Drosophila melanogaster: one gene and its partners. The protein of the gene in region 4 interacts with the protein of the main gene of each other region in a pairwise test. Each region holds a gene or a part of one and is shown on either strand. Other genes may lie near its edges.

The links.
Region 1: the proteins of CG13458 (region 4) and Gsc interact in a two-hybrid assay, tested with the Drosophila melanogaster proteins (one large-scale study listed by BioGRID).
Region 2: the proteins of CG13458 (region 4) and Polr3F interact in a two-hybrid assay, tested with the Drosophila melanogaster proteins (one large-scale study listed by BioGRID).
Region 3: the proteins of CG13458 (region 4) and CG8617 interact in a two-hybrid assay, tested with the Drosophila melanogaster proteins (one large-scale study listed by BioGRID).

What each region holds. Positions count from the first base shown.
Region 1 is NT_033779.5:591,458-596,939, forward strand, and holds the start of Gsc (goosecoid), read right to left. Parts: upstream 3,229-5,482; 5' UTR 2,924-3,228; coding exon of another isoform or gene 2,750-2,923; coding exon 2,131-2,749; intron 1,177-2,130; coding exon 815-1,176; intron 1-814.
Region 2 is NT_033777.3:22,364,990-22,369,082, reverse strand, and holds Polr3F (RNA polymerase III subunit F), read left to right. Parts: upstream 1-1,709; 5' UTR 1,710-1,729; intron 1,730-1,804; 5' UTR 1,805-1,865; intron 1,866-1,923; exon of another isoform or gene 1,924-1,924; 5' UTR 1,925-1,928; coding exon 1,929-2,321; intron 2,322-2,379; coding exon 2,380-2,868; 3' UTR 2,869-3,003; downstream 3,004-4,093. Other genes in the region: CG5382 (uncharacterized protein), read left to right, coding at 3,270-3,371, 3,435-3,546, 3,614-3,807, 3,863-4,064. UniProt on the Drosophila melanogaster protein: DNA-dependent RNA polymerase catalyzes the transcription of DNA into RNA using the four ribonucleoside triphosphates as substrates. Specific peripheric component of RNA polymerase III which synthesizes small RNAs, such as 5S rRNA and tRNAs.
Region 3 is NT_033778.4:14,354,948-14,359,328, forward strand, and holds CG8617 (uncharacterized protein), read right to left. Parts: upstream 2,335-4,381; 5' UTR 2,252-2,334; coding exon 2,189-2,251; intron 2,004-2,188; coding exon 1,224-2,003; 3' UTR 822-1,223; downstream 1-821. Other genes in the region: CG8613 (uncharacterized protein), read left to right, coding at 1-321.
Region 4 is NT_037436.4:15,111,248-15,117,224, reverse strand, and holds CG13458 (uncharacterized protein), read right to left. Parts: upstream 3,669-5,977; 5' UTR 3,456-3,668; coding exon 2,942-3,455; intron 2,882-2,941; coding exon 2,724-2,881; intron 2,403-2,723; coding exon 2,258-2,402; intron 2,187-2,257; coding exon 1,779-2,186; intron 1,719-1,778; coding exon 1,442-1,718; intron 1,382-1,441; coding exon 1,275-1,381; intron 1,218-1,274; coding exon 922-1,217; 3' UTR 852-921; downstream 1-851. Other genes in the region: Cep135 (centrosomal protein 135kDa), read right to left, coding at 130-204, 266-364; Ctps (CTP synthase), read right to left, coding at 4,528-5,572, 5,637-5,977.

The DNA of each region.
Region 1 (5,482 bases), on a different chromosome or scaffold from region 4:
TAGCCCGGAAAGCGTGGATAATCCTCATCAAAGACGCGAAATAGCCACCCATCAATGCACCAAAAATGTGAACAAATTAAATTGTCAACTTTTGTCGTCACTTTCTTCCTTGGTGACCTCTCAATTTGTTTGTTTGTTGTTGGGTTTCCTCGACACTAATGGACTTTGAATCACAATTGCCGATGTTAAAGGGATGGTTCATCCCCCGGGGTGGGATTTACAAGGGCGCAGAAGGCGGAATCCCTGCATATTTACATTACCAATGATACGATTCAGCAGTGGCAACCACCGACGAGCAAATAACCCTCACCATCCGTTTAAACATGCGGTTGTATCCCGAGTCCCATTACCCAAATTAAGTGAATCATTGGGATTGGCATTGTTTTGCTTTCGCCGGCGAAGAAGCCCCTCAAAATGTACGCCGCTGACAACTAAATAAACAAGTAGAAGTTCTCAGAGGGAGAATCTCGCTGGAGAGAATAGAGATTGCGATGCAGATGCCAGAGATTCGGATTCGGAATCTGATTCTGGTTAAGTGGAGTGTAGAGGAGCGGGGGTGTAGCACTCAATTGGTTTCACGCGGGGAATTAAAACGAGCGTGAAATTAGAGCCAAATGTTAAACACAGAGTGTGGGCGGCTGCTAGGAAGAACACAGTGATCAAAAGCTAAAGCCAGGCATTGATTGTTTTTTTGTGGTGACAAAGCGGCCTTAAAAAAATTACTTTAAATGTCTATAAAGTTATGCTTTAAACTTAGTCTTGCCCCCTTTTTTACACCTTCTTCGGCATTAAAAATTAGAAGCTTTAAACTCACCTCAACTCGTTCTTCTTTGAGATCCACCTTGAGGGCAAGTTGCTCCCGGAGCACCACATCTGGGTAGTGTGTTTTGTCGAAGGTGGCCTCCAGTTGCTCCAACTGCTCCTCCGTGAAGATGGTGCGATGGCGACGCTTCCTCTTCGGCGGAGGTCCATGACCCAGATGGCTGAGGTGGTGCTGTCCGTGGTGGTGTGCGCCCAGATGTGGATGGTGGGGGTGCCCATGGGGGTGGTGCGGATGGTGCCCGTGACCCGACAATCCAGCGGCTGCTCCACTCACATGTGCCTGCATCTGAGCAGCGGCCACATGCGCCACCGCAGCAGCGTGCATGTAGTTTGGATAGAAGTTGGGGTACGCCACTGTAGGGAAAACAAAAGGAAAATTCATTATTCCCTGGTTGGAATAACAGTCATATCATCATCATATAACTGGAGAAAAGAGGGCCACGGGAATGGGTGTAAGTGGAATATTCCTGGGTAAATCCTTAAAAATGCGCATAACGAACCGCGCAAAATAAAACTGCCGCCATTTTGGCTTACAGTAGACACAAAAATGGTATCAGTTCAAGTAAAATGTAAAACTATTTACCCTCTTCAGCATATGTTGTACTTGGAAAACATGTAAATATCGTTACGAAGAATATTACAATGATATATGGATAACATATTGCAAAAACGGATCTATTCCTTTGACCCCATCTGTAAACGTATGTGTGGCTTCCGTTTCCGGTTGCAGCAAGCTGGGGAAAAAAGTTGCGACCAGGTTTTTAATATTCATGTCCTGCGGGGGAGCCTTTGAATGAATTTAAGCGGTATTCTGCATAAATCTGCGCCTGAGATCCACGCTCGAATCAACACAAGGCCTGAGCCCATCTTAAAGCCACCCCAGCATCCCGGATTTCCCTGGTTTTTCCGGCCCAAGCTAAGACTTAGAGCCCAATGCAAATCCTCTCACCGCAAAATCGAAGGAAAATGGAGAGGAAATGCGGAATCATCTTTCACGGATCATTGCCTAATTATGAATAATGCCATTCAGGACTCGCTTCGGAATGGGTGTGGTTCGGTTGAGTGGGAGAGGATGAGGATGTCAGGATAAAAGTGGGTGAGTGGCTGAATGGGTGATTCCTGACTGCATGAGTGAGCTGCCTTAAGGTGATTTCAGAGTTTAGATGCATGAAATAAGGTATTTCAAAATGTTAAAATTTCTTTATCTAAAGAACCATCCTTTGAACTGGTTTCGTCTTAAGTTGTCTTCATAATGAAATTCAGCTGAGGGGGCTTGTGCGTTCAGTATAGGGGGATTGATAGACTTACCCAAAAAATCCGAGGGAGAGGCGGCAAAACCGCTCGCCGCTGCAGCCGCCAAGTGACCCAGATGCAGGCCAGGATGCTGCAGCATGGCAGGAACCCTCTGCGGTCGGATGGGACTGGCGGCTGCGCTAGAACTGGAGTTTGAATTTGGCGAGGCTGGGGACTCGGCGCCACTTCTTTTCAGACCCAAACTGATGCCATTCGAGGTGAGTCCATTTTGGTTGCCATTGCTGCTGATGTGGCTGCCTTGGCTTGGAGCGGTGCCTCCACCCTGTTGGCGAGAGCCCAAAATGCTGTCGATAGTGAAGAGAGACGCGGCGGCGGCTCCTCCTCTTCTCTCCTCTTCCAGAATGGTGACACCTGACTGGCTGCCATCATCGGAGGACGGAGTTTGACTTTGGGACTGCTGGTGTTGGGCGTGCTGCTGCTGGAGGACCGACTGCAATCGCTGGCCCAAGTAGCCGCATTGCTGCGAGTTCAGGAGCATGGCGGTGGTCAGGTGATAGGCGGCCGTGTTGCCAGGAGATCGCGAGATCTGCCTTGGAGGCTGCTGCTGCTCGCCGAGATCGCTGGGCGACCTTTTGAGGGTGTAACCCGCCGGCGGGGAATTTGTCTCTACCATTTGTGCCAGCATAGATCCAGCCGGAGGGGGCGTAGGCGGCGGGGAGGGGCTGGGCGTGCTCACGACGGTGATCTTGAACTTGGCCTTCGAGGGCGGAATGTCGGGCGTGGTGCTGGGAGTGGTGGTGGTGGTGCCTCCACCGCCTCCTCCAGGGGTCCACAGTGAGGAGAGAATCTTGAAGAAGTCTATGAAGCTTTCGAGTAGGAAAAAGTCTCTTCCCCACTGATTTTTTTTTAATGAAGCGGCACTTTTGAAGCACTAAGCGCTTTACAATTTTTTTTAATTCAGTAATGGTGGCAATGTTGCGAATATTAAGTCTAGGTTTTTTTCACTGGATTAGTGTGTTTTGATCGATGCCAAGTTCACTAAACCGCACTAGAAACACGCACTGCAATCGCGTCGTGATTTTATATTTTATTATTTCCACAGGTTTTCTGCCACCGGGAACCCTTCTTGTCCGCTCGAGCTGCGAAAGTGTTGTGAGAGCGTTCCGCCCGACAAGTTGTCGATTGAGTAGTCGTTAGGCCAGTTCCTCGACAGATATAGATACAGACTCTCAGATGCCAGATACAAACTCACATCTGCTCTCTCGTTTAGCGGACATTTTTCGACGTTGGCCAATGAAATCGGGGTGAAGCCACGCCCTCAACGCTACCATATTGCTTGGCAATACTCTCTGGCTTTGGACGCCTCTCCCTCTCTCTGTATCCTCCCTCCCTTTTTTGCTTTCCCTCTGTATCTCTTTCTCTCGCTCTAGCTGGTGGTGGTTGATGGTGTCGGGCCCCCATCTTGCAGTGTTCCAGGTTAAAGGCTGGCAGGAGGTCCAGGATAAAGATGGCGCTACAGAGATAATGCCCCATTCACCAGACCCCTCCTTTTCCACCCAATTCACACCAATGCTTCCATGTATTTTTTTGTATTTTTGCGCTCTCTACTTACTTTCTTTGGCCACTGACAGTTATTTATACAGATAAAGTCATCACTGACAGACCCCGCGGCCCCCACAGAAAGAGATAGCTGTCGAGGGAGCGATAGAGAAGGGAAGCGGGTGCGCAGGATATGGCAACAGAAGCTCTCTCGCTTTCACTCAGAGTGAGTAGCAGGGGTAGCATAAAAATGCTGATGGAAATTATGGGTGGCAAAAAGCCTGACGCTCTCTTCTCGCGTTCAGGGGATTCTGATACTCCACTGCCTCTGCTGGCGCCGTATCTTAAGAAGATAATGACTAAATTAATGCTTTTATGTTTCTGGCAACACATAAACATCATTATGCGCTCAATCCGCCCACGGAGAAGCGCTGCTCTTGCTCTTTCTCCCTTTCTGAGCTTTATCTTTATCATCATTCTTGCAGACGTTGGGAGCTTGAAAAGGGTTAAGGGGTGAACGTTTTATGTAGAAAGAAGCACGCTACTACTCGTACATAAAGATGAAGCTTACACTGGAGGGAGACTGGGAGCGCTCATTCAATAATCTACGGCACTTTGGTGACCCTCGTCGCTATTGTTTCACCTCGTGTGTGTGCATAGGAAAATATTTTAATCTAAAGTTTCCACATCAAACATGCCCAAGTGCAAAATCCCCAATGGCCGCCAGGGTTCGTTCCCTAGATATGCCCCCCCTCCTCGTCCACTCGAATGCAGGAAAACAAAAGCTAAGCTACGACTAATGATAAATGCAACTCTGCAAACCACACCCACAATCACAAATGGAAATCCAGCCAGGAAAAGCAAATGAACCGAAAAGTCCTTACAATGTCACCTATGTGGGGGTGAAAAATGGGGATCACTTGGAGAAATAATTCCCAAGTAAGGTCCATCTTTACATACTAACTAAACTTAATTCTGCTAGGAGAATCATGGAAGACGAGGCGTTCCTGATAAATTATCAATCAACACTGACTACTAAATTGGGTGGTTTCGAAATATCTTTAAATAATAAGAAAGTATTTAAAGGGCACCCAAATCGCTCTGTGTACTAAGATGGACAAAGAGGAGGGGTCCAGGGAGGGAGGCTTACATAAATGCAGATGTTTTAGTGTGTGTTGGGGGTATATGTGTTCAACTGATTACGGGGGCGCACGGAAGAAGAGGGGCGGTCCTGTCACATGCCGTAAAAGGATGAAAGGATGACGGCTGATGACGTCGCATGTGGCCAAATGCTTTTAGAAATTATTGAATAATTAAGCAGGCCAAGGACCGCAGGACCAGGATATTTCTGGTCCTCTTTCCCCTCCGATTCTTAGTGGATCCTGCCGCCCAGTTTTCTCTGGGCTTCGCTATTTGCCTTTACACTGAACTTCTTACATGGCCAACAACTCCCGACGGGAAAACCGATGATGACGATGTTGTAAATGTAAAGGAAATATTGAGTTGAGAATGGAAAAAGAGGAGGAAGCTCTGGGAGTGCGCTTCTCGCTAAGCTCAAAAGATGTGACGCACTTTTTTCTATTATTTTCCTCACAGAATTTGTTCAACTTGTTTTTTCACATGAAACTTTTTGTTGCCTTTTCTACCTACTCTGACCTCTGACCTGAATTCTTTCCCCACTTGCTGTGCACTTTTTGTTTTAGTTCGCAGATTGAATTTTAAATAAAAAATTAAATTAACTTGTCTAAGTATTGTATTTGGCTGAGTACCACTACCCCTTCGATTGGCTGTGCGAAAAAGTTCAATTGGCAAAGGACTAAGCAAACATTGTGGAATAAAAGGTTTTTCTACTTTTCCATTTGAGCGC
Region 2 (4,093 bases), on a different chromosome or scaffold from region 4:
TCGACCAGGGACTGCCAGCTGCTCAGTCGACCAAGTGGCCTTACCGCTATTCCCAATATAATTCCGAGTGAAATATAACCTTAATCTTACAATACTGCATATAAAAATTAATAAAGATATTATCAAATGGAAAAGATAGAGGCTCAAATTATCATTCGATATTTAAGTATAAGTAAAGTGTTTAGCAGGATCAAGATATGCTATTGTGCCAACATACCCTAACTCCCTTCGCGTAAGGGGATGCGAAAAGTTTATCCAAAAAGGAAGCTCCGAAGTTAACTGGCGCAAAGCTCCGTTGCTAGGCTGGCCGGCAATCGGATAGAACAGAAGGTTCAACGATCCATTACGATTATTAATTTTTGCATATAAATTTGCATTGTACAGAAGTATGTGTATATATGATTATATGGACACGTGATGTCAGTATGTGTGTGCGTGGTAAACAAAAAACCGATCATCAGCTGTTAGACGGCGCTTATCAGCTGGCAATACAGAAAAAAAGCAACGCGGAAAAGAGCCCACTGTCCAACTGTCCCACTTCCACCTAGAATTCCACTGTGCTGACCTTGACAACCTAATCTCCTCCACAGAAAACAGCTTCGTCTCGCTCGCACTGCCATTATGCAAGTGCGTGAGCATCTACTTTCCTTTTATCTTCCGCTCTCTCTTTCGCTCATCGTGAGTGACACGCGCAGAAACCGTGCAAGTAAAGCTCGCCGGCCTGCAGCTTTTGTCGCCGGAAAACGCACGAGAAAAGTTCTGAAAGTGAAAGTGCTTTTCCAGGCTTCAGTCAATATGTAATGAGTACTATGTGCCGTACTATTTAACCTTGAACTTGTGGATAAAGGACGTTAGCGCCGTTAACATTTTGAAGCTCGGGTCTGCAACAACAAATGCTTATCACTGAGACGCCGAAACAGCAACAAAATTTCAAATATAATTCAGACAATCCGGCACAGAGCAAATTTATGCAAAATTACTCATCATCGCTGAAAGCGTCGTCGTCACAGAGCAATTAAACAATTGCGATAGTGGAAGTTTACAGCGGTTCAAGATTATTATTGCTGCATTATTTCCGATGGCATGTTTAATAGGGTGTGATTGCGATGGTGTAGGTTATTTTACTTGTGGCGCGCTCCGCATGGAATGACTTCTATTTCACCTTTACACATTTCGCTAACGAGGTTCTTTTGAGATTGTATGGGTGTGCGAATTGAATTCGCAGCCGTGCTTGTGTGTATGTGTTTTGTGAGGCGGCAAACGCAATTCTACATAATGTGGAGAAATTGCTTGCATCATCAACAACAGCAAAAACAAATGTCTTGCCCCCGCCAATTTCGTTAGCAAAATTTCTAGCGTATTATAATGGAATGATGTTTAGCTTGAGGTCGTATCAAGAAGATCTGATAATTACCTGTTTTTGACAGTAAAGGTGAACTCGCGGAAAGATGTATTTGCTCTTCCTGTTTTGGAATTATTTTAATTCAATTTAAATGCACAGGCAGCGAACACTCCAATCAGAAACAGTGCGTCCGGCGATCTGTTCGAAAAAACAGTTGGCACCAATGAGCCTAAAAAAGCCACTCGTTTTTAAAATAAATACCATTTGGTATATACATACCAGATTCACGATATAACATTTGGGGTCTTCGGAAAGCTTTAAATTTTATTTAAAGCAATTTGTAATAAAGCCTAAAACATATGCTCCTTATTTATCCTCATTTATTCAGTTGCGTAAAGTATTATTTTTAATAGAACAAACTTATATTTTTAAAATTGGTTTGTGATTTTTGTTATTTTTTAGCTTCTTCTTAGCAGCGGTAGCCATTCGCCCGGAACCGTTTGTTTTTGTTTTGCTTTTCACGGTAAGCGTGTTGTTTTTCTCGATTTAATTGAATTTTAAATAACAAATTTTCGAGAATAGAAAAATGGCCACTGAGGTGTCGCAACTTTTGCTGGCGGTGGTCCAGGGCATCCCAGCCGGTGCCACCAACGATGACCTGACCAAGGCGCTGCCCGATGTGCCGGCGGCCACGCGGGTGGAAGCTTTGAATATACTGCTGCAGGAGGGCGGGATCGAGATCCTGAAGAAGGGTGAAAAGCTGGTGTACCGTGCCAAGGACCCGGAAAAGAAGAGTGCCCTGCCCAAGGATGCGGACAATGAGGAGAAGGTCGTCTACGGCATTGTTGAGGAGGGCGGCAACAAAGGCATCTGGATTAGGGATATACGTATGAAGTCCAACCTGAACATGATACAGCTCAACAAGATCCTCAAGAACCTAGAAACCAAGAAGCTCATCAAGGCGGTCAAGTCGGTGAACGTAGGTTCTATGATCCCATATTCCAAGTTCAATGTGATTCCAAATTTTCTTCGCGCAGGCCAGCAAAAAGAAAGTGTACATGCTGTACAACCTAGAGCCGGATCTCTCCATTACGGGAGGAGCCTGGTACCAGGATCAGGACTTTGAGGTGGAGTTTGTGGATGTGCTCAACCAGCAGTGCCTGCGCTTTCTGCAAATGAAACGCGACAGTGCGGAAAAGAAGCGCGAGGGGCCACTGGCCTTCAAGCAGATGTCTTGCTGCACGGTGAACGAGGTTCAGAAGTTCATCTCGGACTTGGGCATCAGCAAGGTTAATCTGGCGGAGGCCGATCTGGAAACAATTCTCAAAACAGTGGTGTACGACGGCAATGCGGAGCGAGTGCGCCAGCAGGATGGATCCTTCGTCTACCGGGCGGTGAACGCCCCACTTCCTCCGACTGGTCTGGTCCAGATGCCATGTGGCATTTGTCCCGTCATCAAAAACTGCTCCAATTGTGGCGATGTAACTGCTATAACTTGTGAATATATGCGAGATTGGTTGGATTAGGGATTAGCTCGAAAACTCTGGATTTTATTTTATATTAAGTATTACAAATTGAACTTATTGTTTATTAAGCTTTTTGTAGCACAAACATTATTAACTCTTAAATGTTATGGTTACCATAAAAAAAAGGAAAATTTGAAACCGATTTTTTAAATCGCAAACACATATCGTATTTCATCATTCATCGCTACGATATTCGCAGAATATGTCAGCTGGTTGCCAATCGCCCGGAACGCATGAACAGATACGTGGCTGTTGAATATGTGAATGAAAACTCGAAAATTCCGACAAAAGCTGCGAAACGAAATAAAATTTAATTTTATTGAGGCGTTATTATGCGATAGCTGTCCCAAGGCCGCCAAGTGCAATTCCTCCGCCGCCTTAGGAACCCCGAATTTAAGGAAATGGGTTTGTGCAAGTGCCCCAAGCGCCTGGTGACCAACCAGTTTTGCTTTGAGCATCGAGTCAATGTTTGCGAACACTGTATGGTTCAGTCTCATCCAAAGGTAAGGATTCCTGTCCTCTAGTTTTATGGATGCTTGGAATACACCATATCCACTCTTTTTCAGTGCATTGTGCAGTCGTATCTGCAGTGGCTGCGGGACAGCGACTACATCTCCAACTGCACTCTGTGCGGCACCACATTGGAGCAGGGCGATTGCGTGCGCCTCGTCTGCTACCGTAGGGATCTGCCAGTTTTGAGCTAATCCAGACACCACACACTTACCCATAATCCTGCCATTTCCAGATGTTTTCCACTGGGACTGCCTGAACGCCCGCCAAGCCGCACTGCCTGCCAACACAGCCCCTCGGGGTCACCAGTGCCCCGCCTGCAGTGTGGAGATCTTTCCCAACGCCAACCTGGTCTCCCCGGTGGCCGATGCTCTGAAGAGTTTCCTGTCGCAGGTTAACTGGGGCAGAAATGGCCTGGGACTCGCCCTGGTAAGCATTCCGGGCAGTAAGCTTGTAATCAATTTAAATGTTGAATCTTTCCCAGCTCTCTGAGGAGCAGAGCAGCAGTCTGAAGGCCATTAAGCCCAAGGTGGCAAGCCAGGCGGCTGTCAGCAACATGACCAAAGTGCACCACATCCATTCCGGTGGCGAGCGAGAGCGCACGAAGCCCAATGGCCATGACGCCGTGAGCCCACATTCCGTGCTCCTAATGGATGCATTTAATCCCCCAAGTGCGGGCGACTACGGTGCGCATAATCTAGCATACACTTTGAGT
Region 3 (4,381 bases), on a different chromosome or scaffold from region 4:
GCTCTGCCAGAGATGTTGTCCGCCCTGCTGATGCACGAGAACGGGCTGGATCTTGTGGCAGTGGTGGGACCGGATTCGCCAGACACCCAACGATTTGTGGAAATTTGTCGCAAGTTCTTTATTCCAAGCATGATCATAGTGCATGTGGATCCCTCGAATCCAGAGGAAGCCTCCAATCAGCGCTTGCAGACAAAGTTTAAGATGGTGGGCGGTAAAACTACGGTTTACATTTGTCACGAGCGAGCTTGTCGAATGCCAGTTACCGATCCGCAGCAGCTAGAGGATAACCTAATGGCGTATTTCTTCTCAAAACGTGATTAGATCCGGAAATTTACTCGAAATGTATTTTAAGAACTTCTAGATGTTAGTTAATTGTTATTGATTTGCTTCAAAAGCAAACAAAAAGGAGTTCTCGGAACTACATAGTGTTAAGATCCCGTTATTAAAGACCCCAATAGACTTGCGACTCCAGCTTATTTCACTGTTAAGTCTGAGAGACTGCATTGCTCCCTAAGTGTCTAGAGTTGGTTAAAGTTGTTGTACAAAGGCCCCTCTTCTTATTTTCATGGTATAGCTTATGTAGATTTTGAACTGCAAGGTTCTCTCCAGTTTAAAACCTATCATACCCATCCATTTGAACGAGAAAACGAGCCTGACAGTGACTAATAACCGAAATAACCTTATACATGTCCATATACAACGTTAATAAAGAAAACATACAATGTGTATTCGTTATGTAAATAATCGTTAAGGTTGGAGTAAAAAAAATCACTAATCACATCACACCATAAATGAAACCAACGTCGAGTAATCTCTCTTCTCGAATACAACACGTTTTGTGCATTTATTGGAATCGTTCTGTTCGTGGAGCTATCAACCATTCGGTGGTCGGCTGCACCTGCTCCGCCCCAGAGGCGTAGGCGTAAAACTAGGCTTTAAACTAAATGCGTGCCATGCGCTGCGTCCGCGATCCGCCACCAAACCCGATCAAATGCAGGAGTGGTGCTGGGATCTCGAAGGCCACGGCAATCGGCGTAGAAGGAAACTAAACGTATGGAGAGAACAGTTCGGTAATCGGTAATAATAATCGTAATAATAGTAGTTTGTAGTAATTAAAATAATTTAGTTGAAATTCACATTCATCACATTGGTTGGCCGACCATCTGCCATGCCTCATTCTCAACTGTTGCTGTCGTCGTCGTCCTCGTCGTGGCCTCCGCCTCTCAGGTGTCTGCATCATTGAAGCTCATTGCTGCATCGAAACTATCCACGATGGTTTCCATGCGCTCATGATGCTCAAATCGGGCGAACTTTCGCGCAAATTTCCGGCCGGATCGTGCGGTACTGTACCTCCTCGAGAAGCGCGCACGCCGAAAGAAACGGAAGCGCGTGTCCTCCTCCTCCTCGTCGTACTCCGGCGCAGACACGGAATCCTCGTCCGTTTCGCGCAGAAATTCCTTCGGATCCCGATGAATCTTAAAGATCTTGGTGGCCGTCGCCCCGTTTAACTTCGATATGGTGCGCGAGGCATTGAGTATTCCACTGGAATTCGAAATGGAATTGCTGCGGTTCTTAATAGCCGTCAGCCGGTTTGTGATGGACACCACGTTGAATAACTTTGACAGCTCCGAGTCGACGCAGCGCGATTCGCGACGCAGGTTCTTGCCATTCTTTACGTAGATGAAGTGGTTCAAGGGGCTCTGGCTCAAACTTTGGCTATCCAAGGGATGGCTTCCAGCGGAGCAGGTGGGCGAGATGGAGACGGATACGGAGTTGCTGCTGCCGCCGCACCCGCTGGTCAGCAGAGTGGGCGTGGAGGGCGGCGCTGGCGGTGGCACATGCGGCATTGTGTAGCAACGCTGGCGGCCCGAGCTCAATGAGGAACCCCCGCCCGCCGGCCCGTCGTACAGGTTGGTCACGTTGTAGCGGCTCAGGCGGCACAGCGACGTGGACTCCGGTTCCAGTTCCGCCTCCGGGTCGTGGCTGGTGGGCATGTCCATGGCCTGTGCATGTGTGTGCGTGGTTTTTGGCCAGGTTTTTCGAGTGGGTGGAGTGTGGCGAGCGGCGAGTGGAGAGCGAAGAGCAAAGTGGTGTCGTGTGTGGTGCGACGGGGCGAAAAGAAAGGGCGTTGCAGCAGCCACTGGATTAAACCTATTCATTTATCTGCGGACGCAGTGCATCCACTTACCTGCAGCAAGCCTTCGACCTCCATGTACTGGCTGTCGGTGGTGAGACGGTGTGTTTTGTGCATCAGTTGTTGATATCAGGTATATTGATTAGGAAATATATAAATAAAGACTGTCATCGATATTTGCTTCCACCTATCGGGCTGTTGTACTTCGATATCAGCAGGCTTTATTTATGTTAGACAATCGGGACCCACGGCACGTCGATAATTGGATACTTGGCGATATCGGTATTTCGGCGGCGCCACTTTCTTAACACATTTTTCAAACAAACTTTTTTCGAAAGCACACACAAAATACACGAGATATTGTTAGTTAATTTCAGACCGTTCCGTCCGACCTCGAAACTGCAACTGTATAAAATTAAAATTACTTTGACACAATGACTAATGATGTAGCATAATTTATTTAAATATCATCAAAAATGTAACAAGATGTAATCACACAACATCTGACTTCTGATTGGGATATTATTAGTAGAAAGTAAATCCAGTTAGATTTTAAGTCTGATTGTAGCCACTTGAAATTATTATACATAACGTCTAGAAGGGCTGAGACATTTAATTATATTGAAATAAAGAAACCAGTTTTAATATCATTTAATGTTGTATTTTTATATGGCATATTGTAATATTCATTTCATTCGGTGGAGCATTTATTAAATACGTGAGCTTTGTAGAGCTTGGCTAATTGCATTTTTTCTTATATTATATCAACTTTTGTTTAAAAAAATGATTCCCTGTAAAAATGTTGTCCCATCCACCCCATAAAATAAAAACAATTACGCAGTTTTCCGTTTCTGAGTTTAATGGTTGTTTTCTAGTTTCAGTCTTTAGTTTTACAGTTTTATATTTTTAGCAGTTCCACGCAACCACTTGTGGTCTTCCATAGGCCCCCACTCTGGGTTTCTGTGTGGGAATAGCGGGCCAAACTATTGCTGTGCTTGTGGCCAAGATTCCAGTTGATGGCGCACGGTGCAAGTCTGGTCAGCCGGGTCAGTTGGCTGGTCGCGCCTATGTCATCTGCACAAGCGGCCGGTTTTGCTTGGTGTGGGGGCGGGGAATGACTGTGCCGGCTGGAGGAGCACGGCAGTGACGCGTTCCAGCCCCTGACGTTTGTGTGTTTTGGGTTATATACTGGCGTGCCGAAGCCTGTCGCGAAATCGCTTGGGTCGAATGTTAAACAGCCCTAGGCCCGTGATCTCGAAGAGACAGTTTTGGCGTGCCAACCGCACGGATGGCGAATCGTTAGCCATCGTAGTGCTATGTGGGTTCGAATTGTTTTGACAAAAGTCAAAAAATTTGTTGGTTTTTTAAATCTCCGAAGAAATTTAGGTTTTGCCCGGCTCACGCCCACTGTAGCTCCACTCGCACGGGGGACATCGCGAAGGGTTGCGACACCGGAAACCGGAAGCAGCCGAAGCCGCTACCGGAAACGGGTGGCGCCCACCTTCAGGGCCGTCGAAATCCTCCTGCAAAAGGATCTAAGTGGGCATTCACCGGGCGGGGGGTTTTTTGCTAGCTTCACAAAGGACCAGGATCAGACGAAAAATCAGCAAATATATGGTTACAATAGCGATGATTGCCATGTCTCTCAACACAGTGATCATATCTTTTGATAGCCAAATAATCGCTTTTTCTCCGCTGACCGGCACAAAGTGGAGCCGGCGGTTGTGAGAATCAACGGTTGTGCGGGGCGGCTGGAGATCAGGCAACATCCATTTCAGACTCGCAATGTCAAAACATAAGATTCGAAGAAAATGGAGCTCCATGCCGAGGCACTTCACCCGCCATTTGGTTCGAATATCATATTCCTCCATTGCGAATAACCGATCTTACGGACGAAATGCCAGATCCTCAGCCGCCCCGCCCGATGATTCTCGAAATCTAGTTTCTAGTTGCAAATAAAGGTTCAATGTTGCAATAAAAATTATTGCTTTCCAAAAGCTGGCGTTCTGTGCCAAAGTAGCCGCAAGTCGGCGTGAAATTATATGAAAATAGAGCCGTTTTCGAGGCATTGCGAATAGCAATACAAACAGCGTGGATTTGTGGATTTCAGAAGCTAGTCGAGGCTTACCGGCACGCCGATTGCCAGTGAGTATGAAGAGTATGAAGAGATGTGGCTGCTGTTGCTGCTGTTGATGTGGCTGCTCCCCATCTCCAGCTCTCCGGTTGTTGGGCTCTCTCTGACGTCGA
Region 4 (5,977 bases):
TGACAAATTCTTTTTTATCTTAACAGCACCAACCTGAATCTCTTCAGTAAGAAATTGTGATAATATTATAGTTACACATATATAATCGAGAAAACCCAAAGGTCTTGTACTCTCTACTGGTATACCCACCTCCAGCAGCTCGGCCACCTTTTTCTTGGTATCCCTCAAACATTCTGTGGTCTTGATTAGGTCCCCGAAAACAGCCTGCAATGTAAAAGGTACAGGATTATGCCAAAAAATTAATATTACAGGGTATGAATATTACCTGAACCAGTGGAATGGCCAAAACGGGCAGCGTCTGTGTGAAACCCATGATGTCCAGTTTGCAGCGGAGGTCTTTAAAGTCACCATCGTTGATATTCATGGGAAAACACTAATAACAGCAAAAAAATCACAAGTTTTCTCCTAAATGCCCTAAATTTCAGAAAATGCGCAATGAAAACAATGCTATTCAATCAAATCAAAACAAAACCGGACTTCAACCGATATTTCCTTAAATATATCGGTTATCGAAAGTGACCATCACACCTCAGCAAGGAAATCAATCGAAAATTTGTTTTAGTATTTTATTATCGAACGCAAATGTATCGAAATCAGTATGAAAAATAACATCGATTGCCCAGAAAAAACGTTACATTCAAAATAAAATATAAAAGCTGAACAAAATTTTATATTTTTTATGAAAATTCATAGATTTTACCAGGTATGTACTGCAACCGAAAAGAAGTTACCGAATATTTCAATATAATAATTTTATTATTGTTCATGTGTCTATGGCTATGTCTAAAAAACCAAATTATAATACAAATTTTTTAAACTTTTAGAATTGTACCAGGCTTTACTAAATAATTGACCTTGTCCAAATCAGAATTGTTCGATATTTGTCTTTTTATTAAAAAAAAACTAAGGTGTGGACTGCGATTAATCAACAACAAAACAGTAAAAGTTCTTAAACATAAAAGACGCTTCATTATCTGATATAAAATTACGTTCTGGCTTTTCCGAGGAAAACGGATTTACAGTTGGCGGCATTACGACATTTAAGTGTCGATTCGATTGGTTAATAAATTGAATCATATCCAAAGGGGCCTCGTATTTTGTATAGGAAGTAACTACGATGGGGCAGTTGAGATTGAGTGCAGCTTGAATGGTATCTGGCCAAGTATCCTCCAGAGCGAAACCAGTTGATCGGTACAGACCGCAGTTAAAGAAGCAAACTATGAATTTATGTATAATAATTATTATTAGTTTCGCTTAAATGAGTGTTAACTTACTCAAATTCGGCTGAAGAAAGTGCGATTCTCTGCAGTAATCGTGATATAAACTATTCTCAAAATGATAGTTAACCGTTCTCTGGGCTTTTCTGCAGAAACGGCAGCATCTAAATAGATTGATAATCTTTAGACTAATGTTTAAACTACTAACTAAAAGTGTAACTCACTTGATTTTCTTTAGCTGTTCAAAGGATATATTATTAGGATTAAGTTCAGGTCCAACAAAGACCACATTCAGAGTTTTCACCGCTGGCGTTATGTGGAGCAGGAAGAGTTCCCATTTCTGCAGCATATCCGCCTCAAATTCGATCTCGGCTCCAATTAAGTGAAGAGTCATCTCCTCGCAGTTTCTGAGGCGCTCGCAAAGTTTCAAGGCAAACCAGGCAGTTAATGGGCCAGTGGACACCTGGGTAAGTGCTGCGTACTCACACTCATTGGTAACATCTTTAAATCAGTATAATAATACATTATAATAAAATCCTTGAATACTTCGTGTTTACTTACTAAAGCTTAGCTTCTTCATCATCTGCTTGGTGTTGGAGCAAGCCATGGGCAGCTCTCTAAGAATCTTACTGGGCAGTGATGGCTCCATGCGGCCGAACTGTTCCTGAAACATGATGAAGGCCTTGAAAATCTGATAGGCTCCACACCACTTGGCGTGCTCCTTGCCTCGGTGCTCCGGCTTATCCTTGCAGAAAGCCACCTCGCCACATCCACCGCACATGGATAGACGTTTAAAGCGATGCTCCCGGCACTTTGAGTCGGCGCAGATCAGTGGAAATAGGAGCAACTCTCTCTCCGTTGCGCTGAGCTGACGATTCATCTCCTTCTCCACCTGGCGAATGCACACGATCCGGAAGGAACGGAACTGTTCGTCACTGAAGTCGCCGCACTTGTAGAACATCTCGTGACCTGCATCCGCCCCATCCAAAATTGGCAATTAGTGTGATTTATGAATTTGTGAATCGCCGAAAGACACTCACCATTGCGGTCCACCGTCTGGCGCAGGGCGTAGCACAGCTGGCGGTGCTCCTGGTCGTCTTTCATGTGCCCACTGCTGCAGTAGTAGCTCAGTCCACAGCGGGAGCAGGGTATCCGATTCTGGCCGCACAGATCCGACTTGCAGAACTGCAAGTATTATAAAAGGCTTAGTAAAATAAAATTGTAAAAAAATCTTATTAATGCGCCCTTTACATTTGTATATAGAAATAGGAGAGTACGCTATAGCCAACTTCCTCGACTATCAGATACCCATTACTCATCTAGCGGGAATGCCACCATTAATGAGCATATCGATAGAAACTGGCAAGAAACCATTTTACCTGTTACATACTTTTCAACGAATCTATTATGCCCTTTTCCTTTAGGAGTGTAGGGTATACAAATGTAGAAGTTTTAAACTATAGTCCCTTCAGCAATTAAGCACAGTTTGTAATGAATACTACCTACATTGCACAGTGAGGCCATAAAATATTGCCTTGGCTTATAGATGTACTCCACATACTCCTCCACTTCCTCATCGGATGACTCGACATCGCTGGGCGGCGCTTGGCTGAAAAGCTTTCCAAGATTGCTGAATAACGCGGCTGCTGGGGATTCACCAGATCCTATCAAGCATATTTTAGTTATGTTGAATTGTATATACTTCCTAATGATTATCTAATTACCCTTTGGCAGTTTGCTGCCCAAGCATTTGAGTAGATCATTTATTTCCTCTTCTTTTGAAATTCCAGATGCCTTGGCTTCTGTTTTGAGTTTTGGAGTAACCGAGGTACTCGAAATCTTTGGTTTCTTTTCTTCACTTTTGATTTCCTTTGGTTGGGTAACTATTTTGACCGGATCAGTTGATGGCTTATTTTCGCTGGATGGCACAGCACTATTTTTGGCCAATAATTTCCTACGTAACAGTTGCTGTATCAGCCGGATTGTATCGTTCTCTTGCGGATTTTCCACTTGACCAATTTTTGATAATGATTCAAGCAGAGAATTTCCACTTGTAAGTAAGGGCTTTTCCACCGGAGGTTTACTTTCTACACCATTTGCCGCTTTTGAGCCATTACTTTTGAGTGAAGACGCAATTGCGTCTGGAGATTCCCCTTGATCCTGTGGCACCTGGTTGATCTTGTTGCGCTGGCGATTCCGAATCCTTGGCTTCTTTTTGTGGACCCCCGACTGAATCATGTTAGCTGCGTTTCTCTTATTTCGAGTGCAAAATTAGCCAGAGCACGTTGCTCAATTGAACGAACAATGAAGAATGCGCATTGTTCTTGGTTGGGAGTCTTGCGGTCCGCCTCGATTCAATTGGCCGCTAGCCATCGCTTCTCATCGCGGCCGCAAGCCCAAATGTATGCCCTGGCTATTTTTGTTGGGCACGGGCCTGACGATGTCTGACAACGCCAGCCGGTATCTGAATCCGCATCCCGCATACGAATCTCAATTCGCATGGGCTAGCGTCCATTATTATTCTCGAGTACCAGCGTTTGATTAATTCTCTGCCTATCTCAACTAATTGCGTCAACAAGCAGAAAATTACACTGAAGTCCACTCTGTGGTGCTCTTTAAAAATATAGTTCTTGGCAGAAAAGGGATTATACATAATCCCTTAATATATTTGTAAGAATTTAGAAAAAACAGTCAGTTTTTTAATAAGGTATCAGTTGCCAAAAAGTATTGATGGAACTGTCGTTAAAAATAGAAGCAACAATTGTTTTCAAAGTATTCCAATAGTTTATGTGTGAACAAAATCATAACAATTGGTATGGATATCTTGAAAAGCGATTTTTCCATAAATTCGGAAACAAATAAGCTTATTTAGCATGTTTCAATTCCAATTTCGAAATTTCGCGCCCAATTTGAAAAGAGAGAAATAGCACACATTTACTTTCCACGCACTATTTCCAATACCGTTCTTGCTGCCCGCTAAGTTCAAAATAAAACACAAACATTTGAAATTGTTCCATTAGTTATTTTTTTTTTCGCATCCAAAAAATATATATGAATTAAGATTTTCATATAAATTAAAAATGTACGGAAAGTAACATCGTAGTTTACTTAAGCTTAGGAGAAATTATAAAGGGTTTCTTATTATTAATGCCTCTTTCATAAAAGGTCAAAATTTTCAATTCGCAAATACCGTATTATACCCACCCAGTAATACTTAAGTTATCCCAAACTTTTGGGGTTTTGCGATAACAAAAGTACGTCTGATAATCGGATGTTAAACACTTTAGGATATAAGATACCGTTCACTAGTTTACTTATGGCCATTGGTAGGATCAACGCCTCCGCAGGCACCTTCGCTGTCGGAAGTGCTTATGCTACCATTGCAACTTTTTGATATTCCATTTGTGGGTGTAATGGGAATTTTCAAGGAGCTCAGCGATTTTGTTGCTCCGGCCAAGCCCACAACACTGTCCTCCTCATCCGAGGATGCGTCGGATAGCTGGCGGGGCGACAGGCGGCAACCGCGCTGAATATATTGGTTCAATCGATCCACTGAGGCCAGGATCAGGCCGAGGAAAGGAGGCGACGGCTTCAGAGGCCGCGACAAGTACTCTGGATGATATTGGGTGGCAACAAAGTAGGGATGACCGCTGAGCTCAATGATTTCCATCCTAGTTTTGTCGACGTCGGTGCCCACAAATCGCATGCCTTGCTCTTCCAGCAGATGCACGTATTTGGGATTAACCTCGTAACGATGCCGATGACGCTCCTGCACGCTTTTCGGATTGCCATACAACTGGCGAATGACACTAGGACCATCAGAGAAAACAGTTATTCGCTTGCCCAAGCGCATAGTGCCGCCCAATTGACCCGTGTGATGCTCTGGCATATCGATGACCAAGGCATTAGCTGTGTTCGGATCGATTTCTGTGGTGTTTGCATCCTTGAGACCAAGTTTATTTCGTGCGAATTCAATGACCGCCGCTTGCAGACCCAAGCAGATGCCAAGCAATGGCTTTTGATTCTCTCGCGCCCATTGGCATGCACGAATCTTGCCCTCCATTCCACGGGAACCGAATCCACCGGGGACTAGGATGCCATGGCTATCGCATAGCTTCTGCCACTCCTTGTGGTACTTGCTCGGCTCAGAATGCAAAGTTTCCTCCTCCAGCAGGCACGACTCGATAAAGACCAGTTCCAGTTTGCGATTCACTGCCAGGGCGGCATGTTGCAGGGCTTTAACTACGGAGGCGTACGAATCCGTGAACTTGGTGTACTTTCCCACGACGGCGATGCAAACTTCACGGCGAACGGTCTCCGTTCGACGCGCCAAATCTCGCCATTGCTGCAAGCATCTAAAAATAACAAACAATTTGTGATTAACTTACTTTCAGGGTTTAAATATAGACCTTAACTTACTTGGTCCTCTTGCTCATGTCGATATTAAGCTGTAGGCGCTCATTTAGGTATTCAATAACACCATTCTGCTCCATCAGCAGCGGAACATGATAAATGGAGTTCAAATCGTGGATGCATATCACCTGATCCGGCCCCACATGACAAAAGTTGCTGATCTTCTCCTTGACCTCCAGTCCAATGGGTTTCTCCGATCGGCAGACAATCAAATCGGGACTCAGGCCACATCCTCTCAGTTCTCTGACCGAACTTTGTGTGGGCTTGGTCTTGGGTTCTCCGGTAGCCTTTGGCAACGGAACCAGCGACACATGGGCCAAACAGAAGTTCTCTCTCTTTACGCGGAA